Tamandua tetradactyla: one gene and its partners. The protein of the gene in region 3 purifies or fractionates together with the protein of the main gene of each other region. This does not show direct contact. Links are inferred from orthologs where the notes say so. Each region holds a gene or a part of one and is shown on either strand. Other genes may lie near its edges.

Evidence for each region. The genes of interacting proteins can lie anywhere in the genome.
Region 1: the proteins of PRKCZ (region 3) and NIPSNAP2 purify together in Homo sapiens (affinity purification with mass spectrometry; 3 studies listed by BioGRID and IntAct, counting the BioPlex papers as one, with this or other methods). This does not show direct contact. The link is inferred for Tamandua tetradactyla from reciprocal best matches to the Homo sapiens genes PRKCZ and NIPSNAP2.
Region 2: the proteins of PRKCZ (region 3) and LLGL1 purify together in Homo sapiens (affinity purification with mass spectrometry; 6 studies listed by BioGRID and IntAct, counting the BioPlex papers as one, with this or other methods). This does not show direct contact. The link is inferred for Tamandua tetradactyla from reciprocal best matches to the Homo sapiens genes PRKCZ and LLGL1.

What each region holds. Positions count from the first base shown.
Region 1 is NC_135349.1:18,621,800-18,629,432, forward strand, and holds the start of NIPSNAP2 (protein NipSnap homolog 2), read right to left. Parts: upstream 3,007-7,633; 5' UTR 2,955-3,006; coding exon 2,863-2,954; intron 2,547-2,862; exon of another isoform or gene 2,350-2,546; coding exon of another isoform or gene 2,336-2,349; intron 1-2,335. Other genes in the region: MRPS17 (small ribosomal subunit protein uS17m), read right to left, coding at 5,229-5,498, 6,870-6,992. UniProt on the Homo sapiens protein: Protein involved in mitophagy by facilitating recruitment of the autophagy machinery required for clearance of damaged mitochondria.
Region 2 is NC_135332.1:1,862,667-1,870,177, reverse strand, and holds the start of LLGL1 (lethal(2) giant larvae protein homolog 1), read right to left. Parts: upstream 3,007-7,511; 5' UTR 2,960-3,006; coding exon 2,879-2,959; intron 1-2,878. UniProt on the Homo sapiens protein: Cortical cytoskeleton protein found in a complex involved in maintaining cell polarity and epithelial integrity. Involved in the regulation of mitotic spindle orientation, proliferation, differentiation and tissue organization of neuroepithelial cells.
Region 3 is NC_135328.1:222,906,023-222,913,735, reverse strand, and holds the start of PRKCZ (protein kinase C zeta type), read left to right. Parts: upstream 1-4,700; 5' UTR 4,701-4,768; coding exon 4,769-4,815; intron 4,816-7,713. UniProt on the Homo sapiens protein: Calcium- and diacylglycerol-independent serine/threonine-protein kinase that functions in phosphatidylinositol 3-kinase (PI3K) pathway and mitogen-activated protein (MAP) kinase cascade, and is involved in NF-kappa-B activation, mitogenic signaling, cell proliferation, cell polarity, inflammatory response and maintenance of long-term potentiation (LTP).

The DNA.
Region 1 (7,633 bases), on a different chromosome or scaffold from region 3:
TGGGATGTCACTTTAGCTGTGATATGAAAAACTGATTTTTTGCACTTGCTTAGTACTCTAAGGAAGTTGTAGGGGTCTATTAGAACATGAATGAAGAAATAAAGCCGGTCATATCCAGATGGGTCATACATGTTCTTTAGGGATATTTATGGCAGCCTGAATAATTGGTTTTTGTTGTTTGTTTCTCTAAATGAACGAATTCACCATCCATAGACTGCAAGACTGTGTACCAAGTTTTAACAGTAGTAAGAAGAATTCATGACTGATGTGAAGATGTAACAGATTTGCACATACAAAGTGAATGAATGTGGCAGCCATAGTGATCTCAATTAAACAGGATAAACAATATACCTGACTCACGAAAGTTACTTTGAAGGCTGCATATGTGAAATCAAACATACCATTTGGAATTGCTTTTGGAGACTATGTGGTTATTATAATTCCTGGTCTAATTTTAACATTATCAGTTCCCTGGAAATGTTTAAAAATGAAAAACCCATGTCTTGACTGAAGAGTCCATATTATCTGAAAATTTAATGTTCAAAATTTTTATGACTAAGCACTTAATACCTTTTGATATCTAGTATAACAATTCAGTGGACATTTGGCTAAATATTCTACTAGCGATTTTGGTACTATTAAATTATTGATCACAGTGTATGACTTTTAAAATAAAGCTGAATTCAAACTTAGTTAATATTTATGATTTTTTTAAAAGTTAGAAAATATACATATACATTTATATATACATATAATATACAAATAGGATTGGTCTTAAATTTTTTGTTTTCTTCTACTTAAGTCCATTTTTATAATTTGTATTTTTTCTAGGAAAACTCCAGCTCTTCATTGATTCAGTCACTCTCTCATTCATTTAACAAATATTTTCTGGTTTCTTACTGTGAGAGGCTGATCTTTTAAAAACACAGATCAGACCAAGCGACACTAAATTTTATACCTTTACATGTCTTCCATAGCTCTTGGAAAAAGTCCAAGCTTCCAGGCAAGACCTGGAGTCCTCTGGCCACTGCTCCCTGCCACCTCTCCTCTGGCCTGTCGCCTTCCATTTGTTCTTGAACTCTAGTCCTCTACACTCTTCTTGGGTTTCCTTCCTACTCAGATCTGTCTGACTCAGGTCTCAGCTTAACATCCTTCCATGATCTCACGTGGCAGATTCCCCAATTCTCTCTTAGCATGTACCTCAATTTCTAAGTCTATGTGGATTTTTACCACCTACCATGGATCCCTTGGGACAGTGACTGTGGCCATTTTGCTCACTGTTGTAGTTCCATATGGCTCCAAGTACATTGTGTGAGCTCACTATGTGAGGGGATGAGTGAATTAACTGGGTCTAGGCTGAGGCTCAGAGAATACTGCCTGTCAAGGCAGACTAGAGGCCAGAATAGAGTGGCAAAATGCCCAGGAGATCTCAGAGTGTTCTTAGAATAATTAGAGAACCAACAGGTCAGAAATACACAAGGACTCCAGTGTCAACAGCATGTGGCCTCTGCAGGAAGTGGGGGTATCAGACCCAGGTCCAAATCTCCAGTTTACTAGCTCTGTGACCTTGAACACCTTAGGTGAACACATTCTAGGCTGTCTTTTGAAAAGTGGACAATACCAAGTTCCTGGGTTTGTATTATCTGTGTGATAAGGCACACCATGAATGCTCAATAACAGGAAAAAAAAAAGGAAGCTGTTGTTAATCAGTTTGAAACCATAAATATCAAATTTAAAGAATTTAGAAATTCAAGGCGAACCTTATGTTAGGAAGGGTGCTGGGTCTGAGGCCTGAGAAATTTGGATTCAAATGAATTTTCTGGCTATTTCTCCCCCTCTCTGAGGTTCCCTCTCCCCATTTGTAAAATGTAGATTCTACAATTTATGTTTTAAGAATATGATTAGGATTAAATTTGCCATTTTATCTAAAGCTTCCTGGCCTATATTAAGAGTTTCACAGGTAGTTCTTTCGTTTTTCCCCAAGTGCCAACTATACTTTGTAGAGGATGGTAATTTAAAAAGTAACATTTAAATCACCCAGGTAAAGAAAACGAGAAAACAAAGCAAATCTATGGTAACTTACTCTAGGATTTAGTTTTTGAATTTGGAAAATGGGAGGTGGATATGGATATAGACGGTAGATTCAGAAAAACGAACAATTACTCCAACGAGGTTTGGGAAAAAAACTTTAAACATGACCTCAATGCCTGGTGCTGACAAGTGTATAATACTTTTTGATCCACTCACTATCTCCTTTAAAATCCGAGGCAAAAAGACTGTTCATAACGCTATCACGCCCTAAGATACGCCCCCCCCGCCCCCACTGAGGGCTCACCGGGGGCGATGCATTATTTTATTTCATGCTCGCCACAACCTAAGAGGTGTCATCCCTGCGGCCGCTTTGCAGGAGCACGCAGCGAGGCTCTGGGCAGCGAGCAGCTTTCTCAGGCTGCAGGCGGAACCCGCAGGGCGAGTCCAGGGCCTGCGGCCTCAGCCGTGGCCGGGCGCTCCGGGTCAAGATCCCGCAGGCCCGGCCATGGCGGGCGGGCGGGCGGACGTGGCCTCCGCGCCGGGCAGCAGGGGCCGTCCCGGGCGGAGGCGGGGCTGCGCGCGGTCCGTCCCCGTCGTGACCTTGAGCCCGGACGGCAGGGAAGGCACTCAGATCCTGCCGAGGCTCCGGCCCGCCGATCCCGCCAGCCGCAGCCTCGCCGCCGCCGCCGCCGCCGCCGCGCAGCCTGGACCGCCCTGTCGGGTGAGGCACGCGGCCGAGCCGAAATGGAGGCCCCCGCCAGGGACCCCCGCGCCCTGCGCCCCACGGACGGCCCCTCCCTGGTCGCTCCCGGAAAAGGCGGCGCTGCTCACCGGAGCTCGGGCAGAAGGCTGCGGGGAGCGGCCCGCTGCAGGAGGCCGCCGGCCAAGGCCACTCCGGCGGCCCGTAGCACTCGCGCCGCCATCTTGCTCCGGCGCCTCGGCTCCCACCGCCCGGGCGCCGCCGTGACGCCGCCGAAGCCGCCGCCACTGCGACCCCTCCCCCGGCCGGGCGGCCGACAAGGCTGGGGCGGGGCGGGGCGCGCGACCGCGGCAATGCGGGGCGCGGCCGCCAGGGGGCGCAGGGCGCGCGGCCGAGCCCGAGGCGGGACGCTGGGCGGTGGGTCGAAAGTAGTCGGAAGCCTGAAAAGCACCGCCTGCCGAACAAGATCTTGCGAAAGCTCTCGGTGCCCAGAAGGGGGTGTGCAAAGGGAACACGAGCATGGCTTGAATATGAATGGAAGGATTCACAAGCAGAGTACACCGTTGCCTGGCGGAAGCGGGAGGCCGAGCGACATGTGTGGGTGGGTGGTTTCTCCCCGAATATCTTTCGAATTTGGTGCCATGTGAAAATTACCTTTCCAAAACATAATCAACACTTTAGTAAAAGGCATTTTAGATGGGAACTTACTAAAATACTCTCGCAGTCTTGTGACTACATTGTTCCTGTTCACTTCAGCACCCATGGGCTCTGGCCACCGAAAGACCCCCGTCCCTGTCCTCACGCGGCCACTCTAATGGGGACAGGATGTGACCTGACGAGTGTGTCAAGTGCTGAGATGGAAAGGTTCACAAGACGCGAAGGAAGCAAGAAAGCGCAAGTGACCGAGGGTGGCTGGGTGGCGGATAGACCACGGGAAAATTCCCAGGGCTGCTCCCCTGCGGAAGAAGGGAAGACATCCCTGTCAGAGGGCACAACGTGAAGAAGCGTGTGCCCGGGAGACACTGTTTAAGGAAACCGTATCCCGTGGGAAAATAAGAGTCACCGATGTAGCCATGAAAAACTGCGGCAAAGATAAGTTGGGCAGAAAACGTTAGATCCTCAGAGGGGGCGTGACAGGGAAAATGCATTTCAAGGAAGCAGTGGGCTGGGGAGAGAACAAGAGGTGAGTTCCCTCCTGAGTTGGCCACTAGGTTTCTGTATCTGGGCAGTGGGGAGGGGAACTGGATTTGTGGATTGAGGGCTGCCCTGAAGCTGGGAATCTTGGGGATGAAGGGAGGGTGGAGGCTTTTGGACTAGGCAGAATTTGAACACATTAAAAGGACAAGGAGCCACCAGGCAGGAAAAAGTTGTGGTTGGAGGAGTGGCTGGGGAAGCATCTGTCTCCTGGAAGCCAGAGGCTGGTGCTGAGGGACTTCTTGCCTTCACCGGGTCTTGGTTAGAGGGGCTACAAAGGCTGGATAGGCCCCAAAGGAAGGCTGACCCAAGCTGCCCCCAATTCTCCAGAGCAGGAGATGGGGCCTCAAGCTAGAGGTGTCCAAGAGCCTGTGGCTTACTTACACATTTTCCCCACCATTCCCCTACCCATGTTTGTTGTGAAGGCACCCGTGCCCACCTCCTGCTTTAGACTGTAAGCCCTGAGGGTGCCCGTGGTTACTGTTGAAACACTGTGAGGACAATAGGCCTATTTGCTGAAGTTGAAATTTATGCTCTAAGTCTCTTTGTAGGAACCTGAAAACTGAAATATATAGTTAAATTTTTCCTCAGGTCAAAATCTAAGTCATCACAGTTCATTAAAGAATAGCAAAAATGCAGATACTTTCCAACTCAGATGCATGGGAGAAATCCTACAACTTCATTAATGTGTCAGATTTTAAGAACTCATGCCTATTTAATCTAGCCTAGGATCTAGGATCTAGGACATAAAAAAACTGACACAGAATTCTTACATTTTATTTTCTACTTGCTAACATCTTTATTAATACAGCTTAATCTGACAAAGTCTGACCACGAGCATGTTGGTTATTTCTCTTTGGAATTGGTGAACTCAGAAAAAAAAAAAAAGAATTCTGAATATAGACCATAAAAAAAAGACAAAAACAAAACACTTAGTGTGATCTAATCTTTTTATAATAGCAATAGTTTTTCTTCTCCCAAAATAAAAGTACTGAGATAAATTCGAGATTCCTTAGAATGAAAAAAATAATACACCCTCTAAAGCAATGAGCTTGCAAAATGATGCAGCAAACTGCTAGGCACACAGTTTAACAGGAACTTAATGTTCACTGAAAAAAGAAATTGGAACTCTGACCATAATCTTTATGAAAATTTATAACAAGCCCTTTACCAAATTTACTTTTATTGACTTCATAAATATCAGAAGAACAACTGGACACAGTTTAAGATGAGAGTTAGCAAAGTTTCTTTTTCCATAAAACAAACTTGTCTTTCCCTTTGGCAGCTTTTCTCCAATTCTCTTTTATTGTGTTGAAGAGACACTAAGTTCTTTGAGATTTTTGCTTAGGTGGGTGGTTTCCAGAGTGACTGGACTCTCCAGGTACGTGGTTCCTGCACAGGGTTTTCCTGTCACTGGATCTATGACTTTTCCCACTTTGAAAATGATCTCAGCTAGTTCATGCTTTACGTGCTTTGTTCGTGGAACAGGTAATGCTTTGAGAAGCACGATATCCCCAACAGTGCACTGCTGGAGGGCATCGTGAGCAAAGTAGGTTTTCCGCTTATTAAAATACTGTTGAGAGAAGGAGATGAACAAATTAGTAGCACACATCTGTGATCTGGCAATGCAATATGGAATAAAAGGTAATGCACAGAGAGCAAACTGGGACTTGGGAAAAGAAGATACTTAGCTGCTTATTCTTTGGAAAACACCAATGACTATTCCAGAGCTGATCCTATCACTGAACTTGCTAGGACCCTTGCTCTATCAGTTATCATCTCTCTCGAAATTATTTAAACTTTCCCTTCCCATTGGGAGCCTTCTCTCCAGCCTATAAAGATGCTATTCTTATCACAAGCTGTATGATTGGGACATAATCACTTAATCACCCCAATCTGTCCCCCCCCACCCCAATAAAAAGAGCTCTAATAGCTGCATCTATAAAGTTATCATGAGGATTAAACGTTGTATGTAAAGAACTTAATCCTATGCTTGTCTCAAAGTGTTTAAATAAGCCATAAATGATAATTAGAATCGCCAGACTCACAACCATCCTGCCATAGCAGGTATTTGTGCACATTAAGTAAACTCAGGTCTTCTGCTTCTAAGGCTAAAATCAAGCTGTCACTCTTCTGCTTGCTCCTGGGTTTTAGAGTCTAAGTTAAGAACAGCATTTTTGTTCACCCAAGCTGGAATGCTGAACCATCTTTGGTGTGTCCCTCTTCCTTGTACATCTAAGAAACCAATGACTCTTATCCCTTCTTCCTAAAATCTACTCTTGTCACACCAGCCCTGTTGACTCAAATTTTGTTCAGATCCTCATCATTTCCATCCTAGACTTTCGCAATAACCTCTTTACTGATTTCCTTACCCCCATCCTCCATCTCTAATTGTCTCCAAGCCTATCTTTCCTTTGCTTTTAGAATGAAATCTGAACTTGTAAACACAACACACAAAAAAACTTCATGGTCCAGCTTCGACTATCCTTGCCATTCATTCAACCAGTCTGCCTACCAACAGTCCACTCTCTGGGTCCACCCTGCTGGATCAGGCCCTTTCATGGCCAAATGAAAGTCCACATACTAATCATGGCCAGAACGACTTCCCTGACTTGGTTCTCTGGATAAAATCCTATTTGAGATTCAGCTCAAATGTCTCTTAATCAAGGATGCTCTTCTCCAGCAACCTGGGAGGAAAGAATGACATTTCCTATTCCCTATCTCACAGTATTTGCATATAGAATGACCACAGCAGGCATTGGACTGATTTGAAATTAACTCTAGGTCTCCCCAGAATGTAAGTAAGGCCCACGACCAATTCACCTGGCATACACATAGGCTACTCAGTGTTTGGCAACAGCTGACACATCTTTAGTGGTAGAGAAGTGTTTTTCTACCCAGGTTCTAGGAACATGTGGGTGCTGAAAGCAGGGATGCTCCTCACCTTTAATAAATAGTTATCCAGAACAAGCCTGGTCACTCTCACTTTAGCAGTTTTTTGCATTGCTGTCCCAATCACCTTCCCCACGATCCATTTGGCATGGACAGAAGAGCGAGCTATTGACATTATGAGGTTTTGGTCACCTGAAAAACAAGTTCCAAAACTAAGAATAGGGTGCTTATGACTCGCCAAATGACTTTTGTCATTAGAACTGCCCAAATTCAGAAACAGCTTTTGTTCGTCTTTTGAAATCACTACTTTCCTACACATTCCACTATTTCCTTAATCATCCAACCTCCCATTTTTCTACTCTTGGCAAATCAGTAAGTTTAATCTCTCAGCCTCAGTTCTCTCCTCTGGAAAATGGGGATAAGGGAGCCTAAACGAAGGAATGCTTTGGGGATTTAACCGGTAAAGCGGTCGTTAATGCGAATAAACGTTGGCCTTTACTGGTGTTTCACCTTTTCACATCTCGCCGGGTTGACGCTGCCAGAAGGCTCACAGCCTGTCTCCCTCGAACGCCCCCATCCCCGCTAGATATGCGGCTTTGAGGATCAGTCAACGCTGAGCCCACCCCGCCCGGCCTGGGGACGGCTGGGAGCGATCCCTCCATCTCCCCTTCCTCGGACAACCTCGAGGTCACGCGGAACTCGACGCCTCAGCCTCTCCCGGGACTCACGAGCTCCCGAAATCCCCTCTCGGAGCAGCGACCTCCAAAAAGCGCTCACCTTAGGAACGGAGTCTATCCTGTCGCGCGGCCGGGGAAG
Region 2 (7,511 bases), on a different chromosome or scaffold from region 3:
CTCCCTCCCGACCCTCCAGGCACCCACACCCCGGGCATGGCTGCCTAGATGCGGGGTGACCAGCAGACTCAGGGAGGAGCAGGCCCCACGAGGCAGCGGCAGGCCTGGGGGAGGCTCATGGCTCCCCTTCTAGAAGCACCATCCTGATGCCCAGGGCCAAAGGTCAAGGGTCAAAACCCAGGGTCAGTGAGGCAGGGAACTCCACCCCATCTGCTGAGACAGGGAGACTGAGGCCCAGAGAGGGGGGCTTTCTGCCTGGCCCCGGCAGCTATCACCCCACCTCCCAGGCTTCAGTTCAGCACCCAAAGGTTGGCCAGCTGCCCCCCACCCCATCAGCAGTGAGGACAGCATGAAGGGGCCTGCAACGGGGCTGTGGACAGGGCAACTCCCCTGACGCCACCTGCAACCAGACCCCTGCCCCCTGCCTGGAACGCCTGCACAGGGCAGGCCACGGGTGACCCTTCACCCACTGCCCAGAGAAGGCACGGACTGAACCCCAGGTTCCCTCACAGGCACTCCAGGTCCGGTGAGCCCGGGCTACTCACAGCACCCTCCAGGGGACAGGGCCGCTCCAAGGACAGAGCTGCCGGCTGGGCAACAGGGCTATGGCCCCACTGTCCAGTACAGAGAAAACAGAGGACAAATGTCATATGGCCCTACAACCCCCACAGCCTTGACATGGGCCCCCCACACTTCCAACTTTACAGAGGAGGGAGGTGAAGCCGGGTGAGGTCATTTGTCCAGCATCTGTTTCCCTCACATCCCATGACCGACTGTCCCCAAGCCTGCCAGCTCGGCTTCAAGACGGACACCGAAGTGGCCCCTTCTTCCACCCTGGTACCATAGTGCCCTCAGCAGCCCCATCCCTGCTCAGGACCCTCCTGGGGTGTCCACCTCACTCAGAGTCAAAGCCAGTGTGTCCCCTCTCAATGCTCACTTGACCCCAATTTTCAATGGCCATTCGCTCTCCTCCAGCTCAGCCAGCAGGCCCCTGCCCCAGGGCCTTCGCTGCTGATGCCCTCTGCCTGGAACACTTCTCTGCTTCCCCCGGAGGGCTCATGCCCACCACCCGGGAAGTAGCTCCTCAGAGGCTGGACAGGCCACATGGCCACTCTCCATCCCTGACCCCACCCCATTTTCACGCCCAGCCTGGCTACCACCCCAACGCCTGCACATTCTACTTTCTAGTTTTGGCTTTCACTCTGTCCCTCACTAGGACGTCGGTCCTGGAGGGCAGAGTGAGCTGTGTTCTTTGGGGCACTGTGCCCCCAGCACCCAGGAGACGTCACACGCAACACGGGCACAGCATCTGTTAAGCTGGCAGAGTGGACACCCCACAGGCCACTTGTGGGCAGGGCTGGGACTTGAAATCCAAGACCATCCAAGTCCAATCCCATGCTTGGCCCTGACTCGCACCTCAGAGTCCCCAGCGGTCACCTCCTTTGGTGACCCAGCATCTTCCCGGGGCCACCCCCTCCCATTGACCAACTCGGCGTGGGGCCTCATCCCCCCACAGGACGCTGGCCTTCTGACCACCCATGAGAGCAGGGGGAGCCGGGCGTCCCCCCATGGGTGTGAGGCCCCCATTCCACACTGCACTTCGCAGGCTGAAGGAGAGGCGTGTTAGCCCAGGGCCTGCCCCCCACCCTCCTGGGAAGGGTCAGTCTCCTCTCCCTGTCCTCACAGCCACCCCAGCGCAGGACAGTAAGGGTCCGGGACCCCTGAGCACCAGCCTCCCCTCCCGGGCCCTCTCTGCCCCTGGCAAGTTGGCAAGTCCTAAAGGGTGGTCCCGCTGCCCTGGCCACCCCAGAGCCTGGGACCACTGCAGCTGCCCCCCACCCCCGAAAACGCCTGCCCCTCAAGGCCACCATCAGACCCACACACAAAGGGACTGAGGACAAGTGCCAGCTCGGACAAGTCTTCTCCCCTCTATGAACCTCAACTTTCTCACCTCCATGGTGGAGCTGCGAGAAGCTGTGTGGTCAGAGGTCAGAACTGACAGGGCCAGGAGGGGTCCCCAAGGGGTGAGCTGGGGGCTGCGAGCTCCCACATATCAGTGCAGGGAAAGTTTATGGGCCCAAGGCAGCCCTGTTTCCCATGGTACTCCCTCCCCACCCCCCTGCCCCCAGCCAGCGCAAGGAAGGAGCAGCCATCCATCACCTCCTCCTTGGCCAAGGATGCCCAAGTGGCACCTCAGCCAGCCGGGTGACCCAGGGAGCCAGAGCCCCCAGCTGAGAGAGAAGCAACTCATTGCACAGAAGGGAAACTGAGGCCCCGCAGGGCAGAGCCTGGGCAGCGGGTGGGGGAAGGGAGCAGAAGAACGTGGACGGGATTTCCCAGCCCCACCTCCCCGCCTTGCACTCCCCGCGCCTCCTGGCCGGCCTGGGGGCCAAGCCAAACCAACCCCGGGCTGCCCCAAGGCGGAGCCTGGGGAGGGCCCGGAGGAGCAGCGGTCAAGAGGCAGAGAAGAGTCCCCGACCCCACGGAGCGGGTCTCTGGACACAGAGCGGCAGGAAGGGGCGGGGGACGAGGAGAGACGCACAGAGGGAGAGACCCGGGGGCCGAGGCGACAGCCCCCTACTCCCGCCCGGGACTCAGGCCGGAAAGGGCCGGGGCGCGGAGGGCGCAGGGCCCGGAGAGGTGCGGAGCCCCGCAGGGACCGAGAGCCAGGGACGTGCAGAGGCAGGGCCGGGCAGGCCCGGGACCCGGGGATAGACCCGGGCGGACGCCGCGTCCCGGGGCCGGGGGGGAGGGGCACGGGGGCGGGCCCCTGCGCCCCTCCCCCTCGCCCCCGCCCGGCGCCCCCTCCGCGGGCCCGACGTGGCTCGTCCCCAGCCCCGGCCCCCCGCCCCGGCCCGCCCCCTCCCCGCCGCCGCACCTTGTTGAAGGCGAAGAGCTCCTGCTTGAGCTTCTCGCGCTGCGGGTCGGCGACCTGCCGCCGGAACCGAAACTTCATCATCTTGCGCCCGGCCCGGCCGCGCCGCCCCGCCGCAGCCCGCAGGATGCGCCGCGCGGCCCCGCGGGTCCTGAGGCGCGGGCGGGGCGCCAAGGGCCGGGGCGCGGGCGGGAGGCGGGGCCGCGCGGGGGTGGGCGCCGGCCGCGACGGACGCGCCGCGCGGCCAATGAGCTTGCGTGCCGCGCCGCCCGCCCCGCCCCTCCGCCAGACAAAGGGGGTGGCCGGGGCCCCCGGGCTCGGCCGGGCTCGCGGAGGGGCGCCGCCGGTCATGTGCCGCAGCGCGCGGCCCGCCGGGACTCGTAGTCCGCCAGCCAGGCCCCGATCGTGGGCGGCTGGGGACTCGGCCGGCGGGTGCGGGCGCCTGGTCGCGGCTTGACCGAGGCTCTCTCCCCCTGCGAGGGAACGTCGTGCACCTCCACTTAGGGGGCAGCCCTTTCCCGAACGCTAGAGAGTCCCGACTGGGCCAACGCTCTGGCCCCTCCGAGCCTCAGTGTCCCCGTCTGCGCCACAGACCCTTGGCCCCATGTTGCCAGGTTCATGTTCTACCAGGCTCACGGGACACCACTCTGCCTGTTCTGCAGAGTGCCGGACCCCTCCCACCACCGTGCATGTGCTCCGGCTGCACGGCCAGTCAGGAATGTCCTCCTCCACTCCCAGCCCCTGGGGAACTCCTACACATCCTTCAGGACCCAACGCGAAACACTCAGTGTAGCAGCACAGGGGATTCTTAGGAGTGGCACGAGCCGAACAGTGAGACAGAAACCCAGCCGAGGGAGGAGGCCCTTTGGCAGAAGATGGTATGTGGGTCTGTCCTCAGCTCGGATTTGGGCTTTGGGCGATGGGGGAAGGGCCTTCCCACTGGAGGGAACAGTGATAAACAAAGCTGAAGGACTCTCGGCCTGTCCCCACCCACCTCCCAGGCCTCCTTTCCTCATCAGGAAAATGGCCTAGAGGTTGGACCTTTCCTTCCAGGCTGAAGATAGGCTGCGCTGGACCCAGGGCTGGGTTAGGTTGGAACTCCCAGAAGCCTAGATGGGGCAGGTAGGCCGGGTCCCAACCCCACCAGCTGTGTCAGGGAAGGTGGAGCTGACCTCTGACCCCAAGTGACAGGAGTTGTCTGTCCCCCTCCAGCCACACCCAGCCCTGCCCCGCCTGCCCTGCTGGATCCTGGATCAGGAAGAAGGTCAGGTTAGAAGAGGAGGGAAGCTGATAAGAACAGCAAGGCTTCTTCTATGTGTCCATTCAAAGATGTTTTGACTGCTTTAAGGCTCCTAACAGTTCTCTGAGGGAGTCCCCAATATTAGCCCAGTTTACAGATGAGGAAACTGAGTGACAATGCCTGCGCGCCCCACCCCATCCCTGTCACCTCTTCTGCAAAATGAGGCAATAAGTTGCACCAGACGGACCTCACGTGGGGTCCTACCATCACCACTGAGAAGCTGTGCCGCATGGAGCAAGTTACTTGTACTCTCTGTGCCTCGGTTTCCTCATCTGTAAACATGGCCATAATACTAGTACCTACTTCAAAGGGTGTGGTGAAGGAGAAATGAAATTTGTCCTTGTGACACCCTCAGAGCTTGCCTGGCGCCCAGGAAGGGCCGAGCGAGGTTAGTTATCATGGCTCTAGTTCACTGCTCTAGGAGCTCTTGTCCTCTGTAAGGGGTCTGCCTTTACTCAGCCTCCACGTCTCTGTCTTTGAAATGGGACTTTTTCATCAGGCATTAAGCAGCCAAACCTGTGTCTTCATCCCCTGGCACCGGGAGACAGAGCTGAGTAGCTCCCCAACTACTTAGAGTGCTGGGCTGTGGTAGGGGGTGCACAGGGTTGGGGTGGTGGCAGGGGGGCAATTCCAGATGGGCTATAATGAGTGAGGGGTTTATTAGGCAGAGAGATGGGGAGACAGGGAAGAGTTTCATGGCAAGGAACGGCTCTTGTAGTCAGAGGGTGTTTTGCCAATGCAGATACCAGGTACCCCCAGATGCAGATGTCTGCAGAATCAGGATTTTATACCAGCCTCTTCCCATCTGATCAGTTAAGGGGGGTCCAGTGGATATGCTGAAATATAAATGGGTAAACTGAGGCCTGAGCTGGGCCACAGCCAGGTAGGGTTTGGTGGGGAGGCGTTGACAGGTCCCGGGCTTCCTTCCCCTCCCCTGTGAGCAGGGGCAGCCCAGGCCTGTGATTTACCAAGGCGGTGCCAGGGGATGGGCCCAGGCAGCCAGGGGGGCACCAAGTGCCCACCCAAGCCTGTTCGTTGCTCAGAGCGGGAAACTGATGTGCAGTAAAGACCAGGCAAGGGCTTGACCACAGGGTCCTTTGAGATTTGGGGGCCCCCTCATCCGTCCTAGTCAGCAGTCTTCAAGCTCCAGCCTCCAAGGCCTGTGTCATCCCTGGGCCAGGGAGGGGCATTTCCTGGGCAGGGTGGCCCTGCCCCCTCCTAGGCTGGCTCCAGCACGGTACCTAGAACGGCAGCTGGCACCTGGTAAGTACACAACACGTATTTCTTAAAAACATATATAAAAAAAAATTTTAAAAAAGCTTAAGACAAAAACTCAAAAATGGACAGCACAATACTACCTAATTGTAATGTAATTATGTTAAAACACTGAATGAAGCTGCATCTGAGCTATAGTCTTTTTTTGTTTTTTTTGTTTTTTTAATTTTTAATTTTTATCTTTTTCTATTATCATTTTATTTCTTTTTCTGTTGTCTTGCTATTTCTTTTTCTAAATCGATGCAAATGTACTAAGAAATGATGATCATACATCTATGTGATGATATTAAGAATTACTGATTGTATATGTAGAATGGAATGATTTCTAAATGTTGTGTTAATTTTTTTTTAATTAATAAAAAAAAGCTCAAGGAAATATGGCAAAATGTTAACATTTGTGAGCGATGATGTCTATAAAGTGTTTTTCAGTGTGTTTGAAATAGTTCATTAAAAAATAGTCAAATACAAGTAATGATAGCCACACTGTCTGGGAGTCGAGCCCACGGGAAGCGGTGGTTGGTGCAGTGACGGGCAGGGGGTGAACAGGGGGCACCTTGAGTCAGGCTGGGGAGCAGGTTCGGGGACAGCGAAGAGGCCAGTTTGGTGAGTGCTGAGAGCAAGATGTGGGGGCCCTGGAGAGCACGGGCTGGAGCTGCAGGAAAACAGGTGTTGCGTTAATGAGTGGGGAGATGACTGTGGTGACAGCTGGCACACACCAACTGAGGCAGGCACCCCGATAAATGCAGTATTTGAGCTTCGCCTCTGTGATGCTTCACAAGAGGTGGGTGAGCAGATTGTCCCATCTCATGGATGGTAAATGGAAGCCAAGGGCAGAGCCCAGGGTGGCCTGCGGAGGGGAGGAAAGAAAGGGTGGTTCCAGCCAGTGACCAGAGGGAAAGCCCCAAAGAGAGGGAGACCGGAAGAGTCCAGCTGAGGGAGGCGGCTGTGGGGCTGGAGGCTGGCGCTGCCTTCCTGGCGCTGATGACCCAGATCCCAGCCAAGGCCGTGGCCCCCTCTGCTGTCCAAACCACACACACAGCTTCTTCCTGGAGGCTCCCCCAGGGACTCGGTGGGCCGAGGATTCTTGGAATGGAGTCTAGCCTGGGGCAGGGCTTGGGCAGGGTCCAGGGTCGAGGAAGGTGAGGGAGAAAGGGAGGCCCAGTGTGGAGGCCTGAGACAGAGACCACCTGGTAACAGGGTCTCCAGCCAGGGCTCCAGCAGGGTAGCCCAAGCCGGGGGAAGGAGGGAGCACCTCGTCCTGTGGGGTATACAAAATGAATCTGGCTAAGAGAGTGTTCTGGGCCCAGAGAGGGGAGGGTGGATCTGGGCCCCCCCTACCCCATTCCACAGAGGATGAACAGTGTTCTGGCCCCCATTTTACAAGGGAGGAACCTGAGGCCCAGAGAGAAGCAACCTGGGGCTGGATGGTCTCCTCCGGACGCACAGCCCCGAGCCTGGCTCCCGAGGGTCGCTGTTCTGGGCTCATGCTGGGACCTGGGACGCCGTACCCTCTGCCGGGCGTGTTGGGTTTGGGACTCCAGGGGCCAGGGAGGTGGGGCTCTGTGCCTCTTCCTTTCTACAGCCCCAAGTTCTAATCCTGCTGCTTCCTCCTCCCCTCTCTGGACCTCGATTCCTCATCTGTAACCTGGGGCTAATATTAATTGCTACCGTTAATTAACACTGAGCACTCGGCCTGTGCCAGGCACCACAGTCATTCATTTAATCCCATGGTATTTTACAAAGAAGCCAAGGCCAGAGAGACTAAGTAGTTTGCCCCAAGTCCACAGCTTGTAAGCCAAAGAAAGCATGATTTGAGCGCAGGACCCAGGCAAGGTATTGGAGGTTGTGGCGACGATTAAATGAGAGCCCGTGAAGGACCTGGTTCAGAGTGTGCATTCAGCCAAGGGCAGGGCAGCCGTCTCCCAGGCTGGACTGGACACCCTGGGCCCTGCTCGCTGACTGTGACCACAGCCTCGGTGCCAGGCTGTGCTGAGGGAAGCTAGGGAGCAGGGGTGGGGGGGTTCCAGAGACAGCCCTGACAAGGCTGGGGGTGGGGGGCCA
Region 3 (7,713 bases):
ACAACACACACATAGACACACACAGAATACATAAATGCTACAGACACACACATAGAACATGCACACACACAGAACATGCACATGGAACACACATGACAGACACAGAGAACACACATGTGTGCACACAACAGAGAAGCACATAGAACATACACAACAGACACACAGACATGCACACAGATACACACATAATAAGCTGACAGATATACAGAGACAGATACAGGCCCAACCAAGACACAGATATACAGACACATCACACAAACAGGTGCTCACTCGGACCCACGAGCACAGACACAGCAGAAGAGACAGACACACAGCCAGGACACCCCCAGACACTGTGGCTGATGAAATGGGGTGTTTCCACTGGGATCCGCCAAGCTGCCAGCTCCAGCCGAGCCCAGCTGGAAGACCTCAGGGTGCATCAGGCTGGAGGGGGGCCATGAAGGGATGGATAGGGAGTGGCCAGCCCACAGGACCGTGGGGAGCTTGCTGGGGACTGGGCGGAGCTGGTGCTGGGGCCCCGGGCAAGCAGGAGCACCCCAGGACCCAGGCACCGCGGCTGGGTGTGGGCTGCCCAGAGGCATGGAAGGCTGCACCAAGGGCATCACCAGGGGGCACCAGGGGGGGCCACGTCCTGGGCGCATGGCTGAGGTACAATGCCCCCAGACGCCCTGTGCCTGCACCCCAAGTCTACTCCCCCACACCCCAGCTCACCGCTGCTCCCTGAAAGGCAAAGGGAGTCCTTCGTCCCGCAGTGTCCTTCAAGCATCTTCTCCTGGGCACTTCTGGCCCTGGCGGGCAGGCTGGCGGCATCCCTTAGGGCGGCAGCACTCGCAGTCCCCGGGGCCAGCGGGAGCCCGGCTGGAAGGAAGCCTGTGACCTTCACAGGCCTGGAGCCCAGAGGAGACAACCTAGAAACTGGCACACATGCACACGATACACACCACATGCACACAGACACACACAGATGCACAAACAGGTACACTCCAACACACACAGACACACACGGATGCACACACAGGTACACACTGACACACATACACACACAGATGCACACATAGGTATACACCAGTGTACACACAGACACACACAGATGCGTGCGCACACACAGGTACACACCGACACACACACACACAGACATGCACACAGACACACACCGACGTGCAGACACACACAGACGTGCACAGACACACAAACACACAGACATGCACACAGGTATGCACTGACACACACAAATATAGATACACACATATACACACATACATACACACAGACACACACACAGACATACACACACTGATGCACACACAGGTACACACAGACAAGCACACAGTACACACTGATGTGCAGTAGGTACACATCTACACACACACAGAAACACACAGACACACTGATGTGTACACAGGGACACACAAATGCACACACAGAAACACAGATGCGCACACACACCAACACACACACAGAAACACCCACACATATGGATACACACAGACACACACAAATGTGCACACACACACACACACACACACCCGGAGCCCCGAGGCCCCGACCTTCCTCTCCCGCCTCCCACCAAGCAGGACCCCTGCCACGAGGAGGGTGGGGCCTTCCTCTGTCCCTTGGCCACCCCCAGGAGGGACACAGGCCTGCACAGCCTCTCTGCCCCGCCGCAGTGCCCTCCGGGGCTCCCCACACGTGGCCCAGCCGTGGCTCTATGTCTCCCTGGGACGTGCTGGCTCTCAGCCGGCCCCAAAATGGGTGACTCTTCCACCAGCCCCCCCACGGAGATGACGAAGGGACGAGTGTGAGCGGTCACTTGGGCTGCCCGCGCCAGCCCGTGATCATGACAGAGAGGAAACATCTGCTCCCACCCGCGCCCGGGCCAGAGACTGCTCAGCGGCGGTTCTGGGCTCTTCCTGTGCCTTGGCTCGGGCCTGCGGCCCACGGGGTCCTCGCTGGGCCCTCTGGCAGAGCCGCACCCCGAAGCGCCGGGCCAGGGGGCGGGGGGCGGACCCCGTACAGGGAGGGACACTGGAAGCCCCCAGGGAGGCCCAGCGACCCTCTCGCCTGAAGGATCGCGGGGTCCCTGGAGGGCCCCCCCAGAGAAGAGCTGAAGGTGAGCCCTGTGAGGGCACGCCAAGGCCCGTGGGGGGAGGGCACACCTTCCCCCACCCCTCCGCTCCAGCCCTGCACCTCCAGGAAGGGCCGGGCCGGGCTGGGCGGGACAGGAAAGGACCCCCGGTGGTCCGGCATGCCAGGAGGGGAGGGCGGCAGGGGGCTTCCTGTCTAAGCCTCCCAGGTGGTGAAGCTGCACGATCAGCTTGTGCCACTTTTACAACCCTTAAAAAAGAAGGATGCCTTTTTTCTGTTTTGAAATAATGGGCGTTTGTGGCTCGGAAAGCACGAGGTCTTTAAGGACAGACTGGAAAACACAGGAGCACAGGGCTTGAGAGCGTGAGAGCAGAGAGCCTCCGCCCCTGGCGCCCCACCCTCGCACCCCTGTCCCGCCTCCCCGGGTCCAAGGGTCACCCTGGGCCAGGGCCGGGAGGCCGGCCATTACCTCACAGCCTGGGCATGGGCCCGCGATGCCATCTGACAGGCTCTGGGGCGGGGTGGGAGGCGAGGGGGAGGGAGGGGACGGGCACCCCCCTCCAACAGGGCAGGAGGCTCGGTTTTGGGGTGTGGGCACCGAGGAGGGGAGGCAATCACAGCGGCCTGCCCCCCAGCAGCCAGCTTGTGGCCCATCCATCCTGGGCTTCACCCTGGGTCCCTCTGGGGGGGGCCGTGGGGGCTTCATTACCAAACCCTGTTGGTTGCAGCAGGAGGAGGGGGCCAGAGGGAAGGGTGGGGAGGCACCTCCAGCCCGCAGGGAGCTCATCCAGGTGCACCCTACCCCCCGCGACCCACCCAGCCCCCCTGCCAGAGCTGTGGGGCGCAGCGTCCCACCCCACCCAGGCTCTGGGCCGGACATGGCCAGGGGAGGCATAGGGGCCACAGGGGGCCTCAAGCCAGAAGATATCAGGATGGGGGAAGGGAAGGGGAGCCTCCCGCCCAGAAAGGAGTCTCGTCTCCCTGCCCTGCCCTGACCCCCGCACGGAAGAGAGGCTTCGGGGTCCCTCAACCTTCTGCTGTGGTGCTCAGGTGTGGACTCCCCTTTAAACTCAGCCCGGGGGGGCCCCCTAAACCAGCTAGCAGGGGGGGTGAGGGGCCTGCTCCAGCCCTCCCCTGCTGTGATGGGGGCTGGTGGTGCCTGGGGACCAGCTTCAAGGCCAGAGGTCCCCCCTGGCAGGTGGGGAGGTGCCGGCTGAAGCCAGTGACCGGGAACCCACGGCCCACCTCCCACCCCAGCGAGTGTGGCGCTGCTCCTCCCCATCCCAGTCAGGGGCAAGCTGGGTGGCCTGCCTGGCAGTGGCAGCACCCCTGGCCAGCACACGCAGCTGCTCGCTGTTCATCCCTGTGCCCTTGGCACACTGCCCCTCACTCAGTAACTCTCTGCTCCCCTCCACCCCACTAACTGTGGGTGCCCTGAGAGGACAGCCACCATGCTCTGGCAGGAAGGTGGGGTACAGACCCCCCAGAAGTGTGGGCAGCAGCCTCCTGGAGCCGACGGGGAGACGCTCCTGGCAGAGGGAACAGCAGAGGCAAGGGGGCAGGGGTGGGGGCAGCAAGAAGGTGGGGAAGCTGCGGAGGAGAGACAAGAGCCCGGGCGCCTGCAGGGCCAGGGGTGTCACCTCTGGAGACGCGGGCATCCTGGAGGCCCCCTGACCCACGCTGAGGGCAGCACACTTGGGGGCTGCTGCAGGTCGGTGCAAGCGCGGGTCAGCGGGTGGCGGCAGGGGCTGGATCCCGGGATCTCTTCAAGCTGGGCCGGCGGGGCTGACGCCGAGGACGGGGTGTAACGGGTGGCGGAGTTAAGGGTGACCCCAAGGCTTTGGGGGGTCCGCGTTTCGGGGTCAACCTTGCCCGGCGGGCGCAGATAAGCCTTCCCTGCAACGGGCTCCGGGATTCTGGAGGTCGACGTGTGGGGGGGCCGCGCCCGGGAGACCCGCCCAGCCCGAACCTGGCCGAGCCATCCAGTCCCCTCTGCCTCAGGTCGTCGCCGGGCCCGGGGGCTTCGCTGCGCGCCCGATTCCCGCCCGTGGACGATGAGCGGCTCGACGCCGGGGTCCAGCGCCGTCGGGGTCGGTTCCCTGGGCCTTCGGGACTGGCTAGCGGACGGGGGAGCCCGGGAATTCGCATTCCACCTTGAGGGCCGCTGCCGCCAGCCCGCTTCCCGCACAAGGCGAGCGCGGGGAACCCCGAGACCCCGCCCGAGACCCCGCCCGCGCCCCCGCGTTGCTCCACAGAGCCGGGCGCCTAGCACTCCCATTGGCCGCAGGTGAGGCGGCGGCGGCCCGACAGGTAGTCCGCCCCGCGCCACGGCGATTGGGCCGCGCCCGCGGGGTCCCGTCGGGGATTGGCCCAGGTGGCTGCCCCGCCGGCGCCCTCATTGGCCGCAGGTGCTGCCCCCTCCCGCCCGGCTGCGCCGCGCCCCGCCTATTGGCCGCACGCTCTCCGGGCCCCGCCCCGCTGCCCAAGTTCGCGCGGAGTTGGCCGGGCCGGCGCGGGTCACCCGCGCGCTCCCCGCCGCGTTCCGCCCCGGCCCCGTCAGGTGTCCCGCCAGGTGTCCGGCAGGTGTCCGGCAGGTGTCCGCGCCGTGGGCCCGCGCGTCCGGGACGCGGCCCTGAAGGACGGCCTGGCCGAGCGCGCCACGCCCAGCAGGCCGGGCCCCAAGATGGACGGGAGCGGCGGGCGCGTCCGCCTGAAGGCGCACTACAGCGGGTGAGCGCGCCCGGCCGGCCCTCCGCGTCCCCGGGAGCCCGACGCGCCCTCGCCGGGAGGGGCCGCGCGAGCCTGCGGGCGGCCGGGCCGGGCCGGGGCCGGGGCCGGGGCCGGGGGCGGGGCGGGCGGACCGGGGTCGCCGCTGACGCAGGTCCTGGCAGCGCGGCCGGGAGGGAGGTCGCGGGACCGGGGGACGCAGCTCCATGGAGCTGGGCAAACTTTGGCAGCTGGAGAAGAAGCGAGTTTCTCAACTTTCGCCCTCTCGCCCGGCTAGGGCGCTCCGCTGAGAGGGAGAAGCCGCGCCAGGCCGCTGCGGCGGGGGCCGGGGGGGAGGGCCCCGGGGAGCTGGGCCGGTCCCGGAGTCTTGAGGGAGAAGCGCGCCCGGGCTTCCATCTCCCTGTCTGTGAATGGGGCGAGTGGGCACCTCCCGGGGTGCAGTGGTCGGGAGCCTGGACTCTTACCGTCGCTGGTCTCAGGGCCGCGAGCCCGGGGTGGGTGGAGGGGGCTCGTGACCAGATGACGGGGCTCCCGGGTAGAGCGCGGGACTCCCGCTCTCGCCGCCCGCGGGTGCAGACAGCGCCGAGGACGGCTGGAACCCCGGCTGGGACCTGGCGCTCCCCGTTGGTTCAGCACCTGTGGGGGCACGGTGTGGGGGGCGGCCGCCTCGCGAGGCCGCGGCTCCTCCAGGGCAGCGCCCCCCACCCCTTCCCTCCCGGAGGCGGGTTCGGGCTCCACCCCATGAGCACAGCATCTGCAGCCTTGGGTGCCTGCTCCTAGGTCCCCTGCAGACCCGTGGTTGGGGGAGTCAGTGGTGGACCCCGAGGGAGGAGGGGTGTGTGGGGTGTGGGCTGGGGTTCAGGGGTGCAGAACATCTTGGCTTTCTGCGCCCCCACAGTGCCGCTACTTGCTGGCGCCCCAGCTGGGAGGGGCCACCTCCAAATTGCACAAGTGGCATTTGAAACCCCCTGCCTGGGGTGTGGGGACCCTCCAGCTGACCCCCAAGAGGAATCTAGCAGGTACCTCCAGCGCCAAGCAGTGGGGGTCAGGTGGAAGTTGGAGGTCAGAAGGGGGGGCTCAGGGGAAGATCCGAGGGTGCTGGGGGGATGGGGAGTCCCCACCTCCTGGTCCCCGAGGGAGCGTTTTGGTTACTGGCAGCACAGATGTAATACAACCTGCTGCCTCCAGTTTCACTCCTGATAAGGCCGCTCCCCCCTTCCTTCCCTCCACCTTTCCTCTTCCTCCCTCTTCCCGCCATTGCCCAGCCCCCACTCCTCTTCCCCTCCCCTCCTGCCTCCACCCCACCCTTCCCTTCCCCTCTGACTCCCTCCCTTCTGCCACTCCAGCCCCTCTGGCCCACGGAGGGACCTTCTCTAAGCCCAGCCCCTCCCTGGGAGTGCCTGGAAGCTCGGGACTGGGCCCCCAGGAGACCCAGTCCACCATGGCCATTCCTGAAGGGCCCCCCAAGACTAGGGCTTGGTGAAATCGGGGTGGGGGTGGGGCTGGTGAAATCCCAGCGCTCAGAGGCCACCCCTGAGAGGACACTCGCTGCCCGGAGGCATGGTCACTGGACCTTTCAGACAAAAGCAAAGACGGGGTTTCTCTAGCACCCCACGGGCGAGGGCCCCTCCTGTGTTTCATGGGCTTTGTGCCCGCTCCCACAGAGGCTGACGGGGGTGGGAAGGGGTGCAGGGTGTCCACCACCTGCCCAGGGGGAGGGCCTGCTTTGTCCAGCACCTTGGGGCCAGCTCCTCAGCGTCCCCGCATCCCAGGAATGGCCGCTGGCTGGCTCTCACCCTGTGCAGAAAAGTTCTGTTCTGGAACTTTCCCCAAGGGCCCCTCTGCGTGAAGACCTCGCCGCAGCCAGGGTGGGTGCTGTGACCTGTGGCAGTGGGGGGCCTACAGGCGCCCGCGCCTCGACAGAGCTCCTGTCTGCTCAGCAGGCCTCAATAGAGCTGCAGCTGCCCCAGCGTCGCCGCCCAGGGGCCAGTGACTGGTAGAGCAGACAGGGAAGGGGCAGCAGGCACAAGGGCCCCGTGGGGTGGTGTTTGCTGTGCCGTGTGGGGCCTGAGTGGGGAGCCTCCTGGCTGCTGACCGCAGGGGTAAGAGTGGCAGAATGCCTCGGGGGGTGGGGCCATTGGCCTGCAGGGTGGAAATGTTAGGCTGTGGGACCATTGGCCTGCACGGTGGAAGTGTTAGGCTGTGGGGCCGTGGAGCTGGAGGTACCCCGACTTGTCTGGGCTGGAAGTCATGGTCACGCCATCAGAGGTGCTGGCAGAGCCGTTTCCCAGAGTGGGCTGAGCCCGAGGTGACCATTGCTGGCCCTCCGGAGGTGTCCAGGTGGTCACTCAGAGAAGAGGCTGCAGGTAAGAGCAGGGAAGTGCCCTTTGACCTGGACCTTGGGGTGGTGGTGGGAGGAGCAGGTTGCAGGGGGGAGGTGTGTGAGGAGGGGCTGGTGGTCCGCTGGTGGGGCCGTGTCTGCACGGGCCTGTGGGGGCGGCCAGCCTCGCCCACATGTTGGATGGTGTCGTGCACCCATCTCCTGCGTAGCCCACTAAGTGCACCCCCTTCTTGCCATCCCAGGGGGCTGTTTTGGGGGGGTCACCTGCTCTGAGGATATGGGGCCCCTTGCCGCCCCATATTGGGGAGCCCACCCCCCTCAGTGCTTCGGATTCTCCGGCTGTGCACACGTGCCCTGAGGGCCGTTGGCGAGGCAGGTGGGTTGGGAGAGTGAAGTTTCTGTCTCGCTGCTGTCCCTGGAGTGGGAGCCGTGCTGTTGGGGGTGGCACCTCATGTCCCCTTCAGAGCTGGGTGGCATAGCCCAGGCACCATGGGGGAGTGACCTAGGGGTGAGCTTTGCAGGGGTAGAGGTTTAAGGGTGAGTTTTGCCAAGGGTGGATG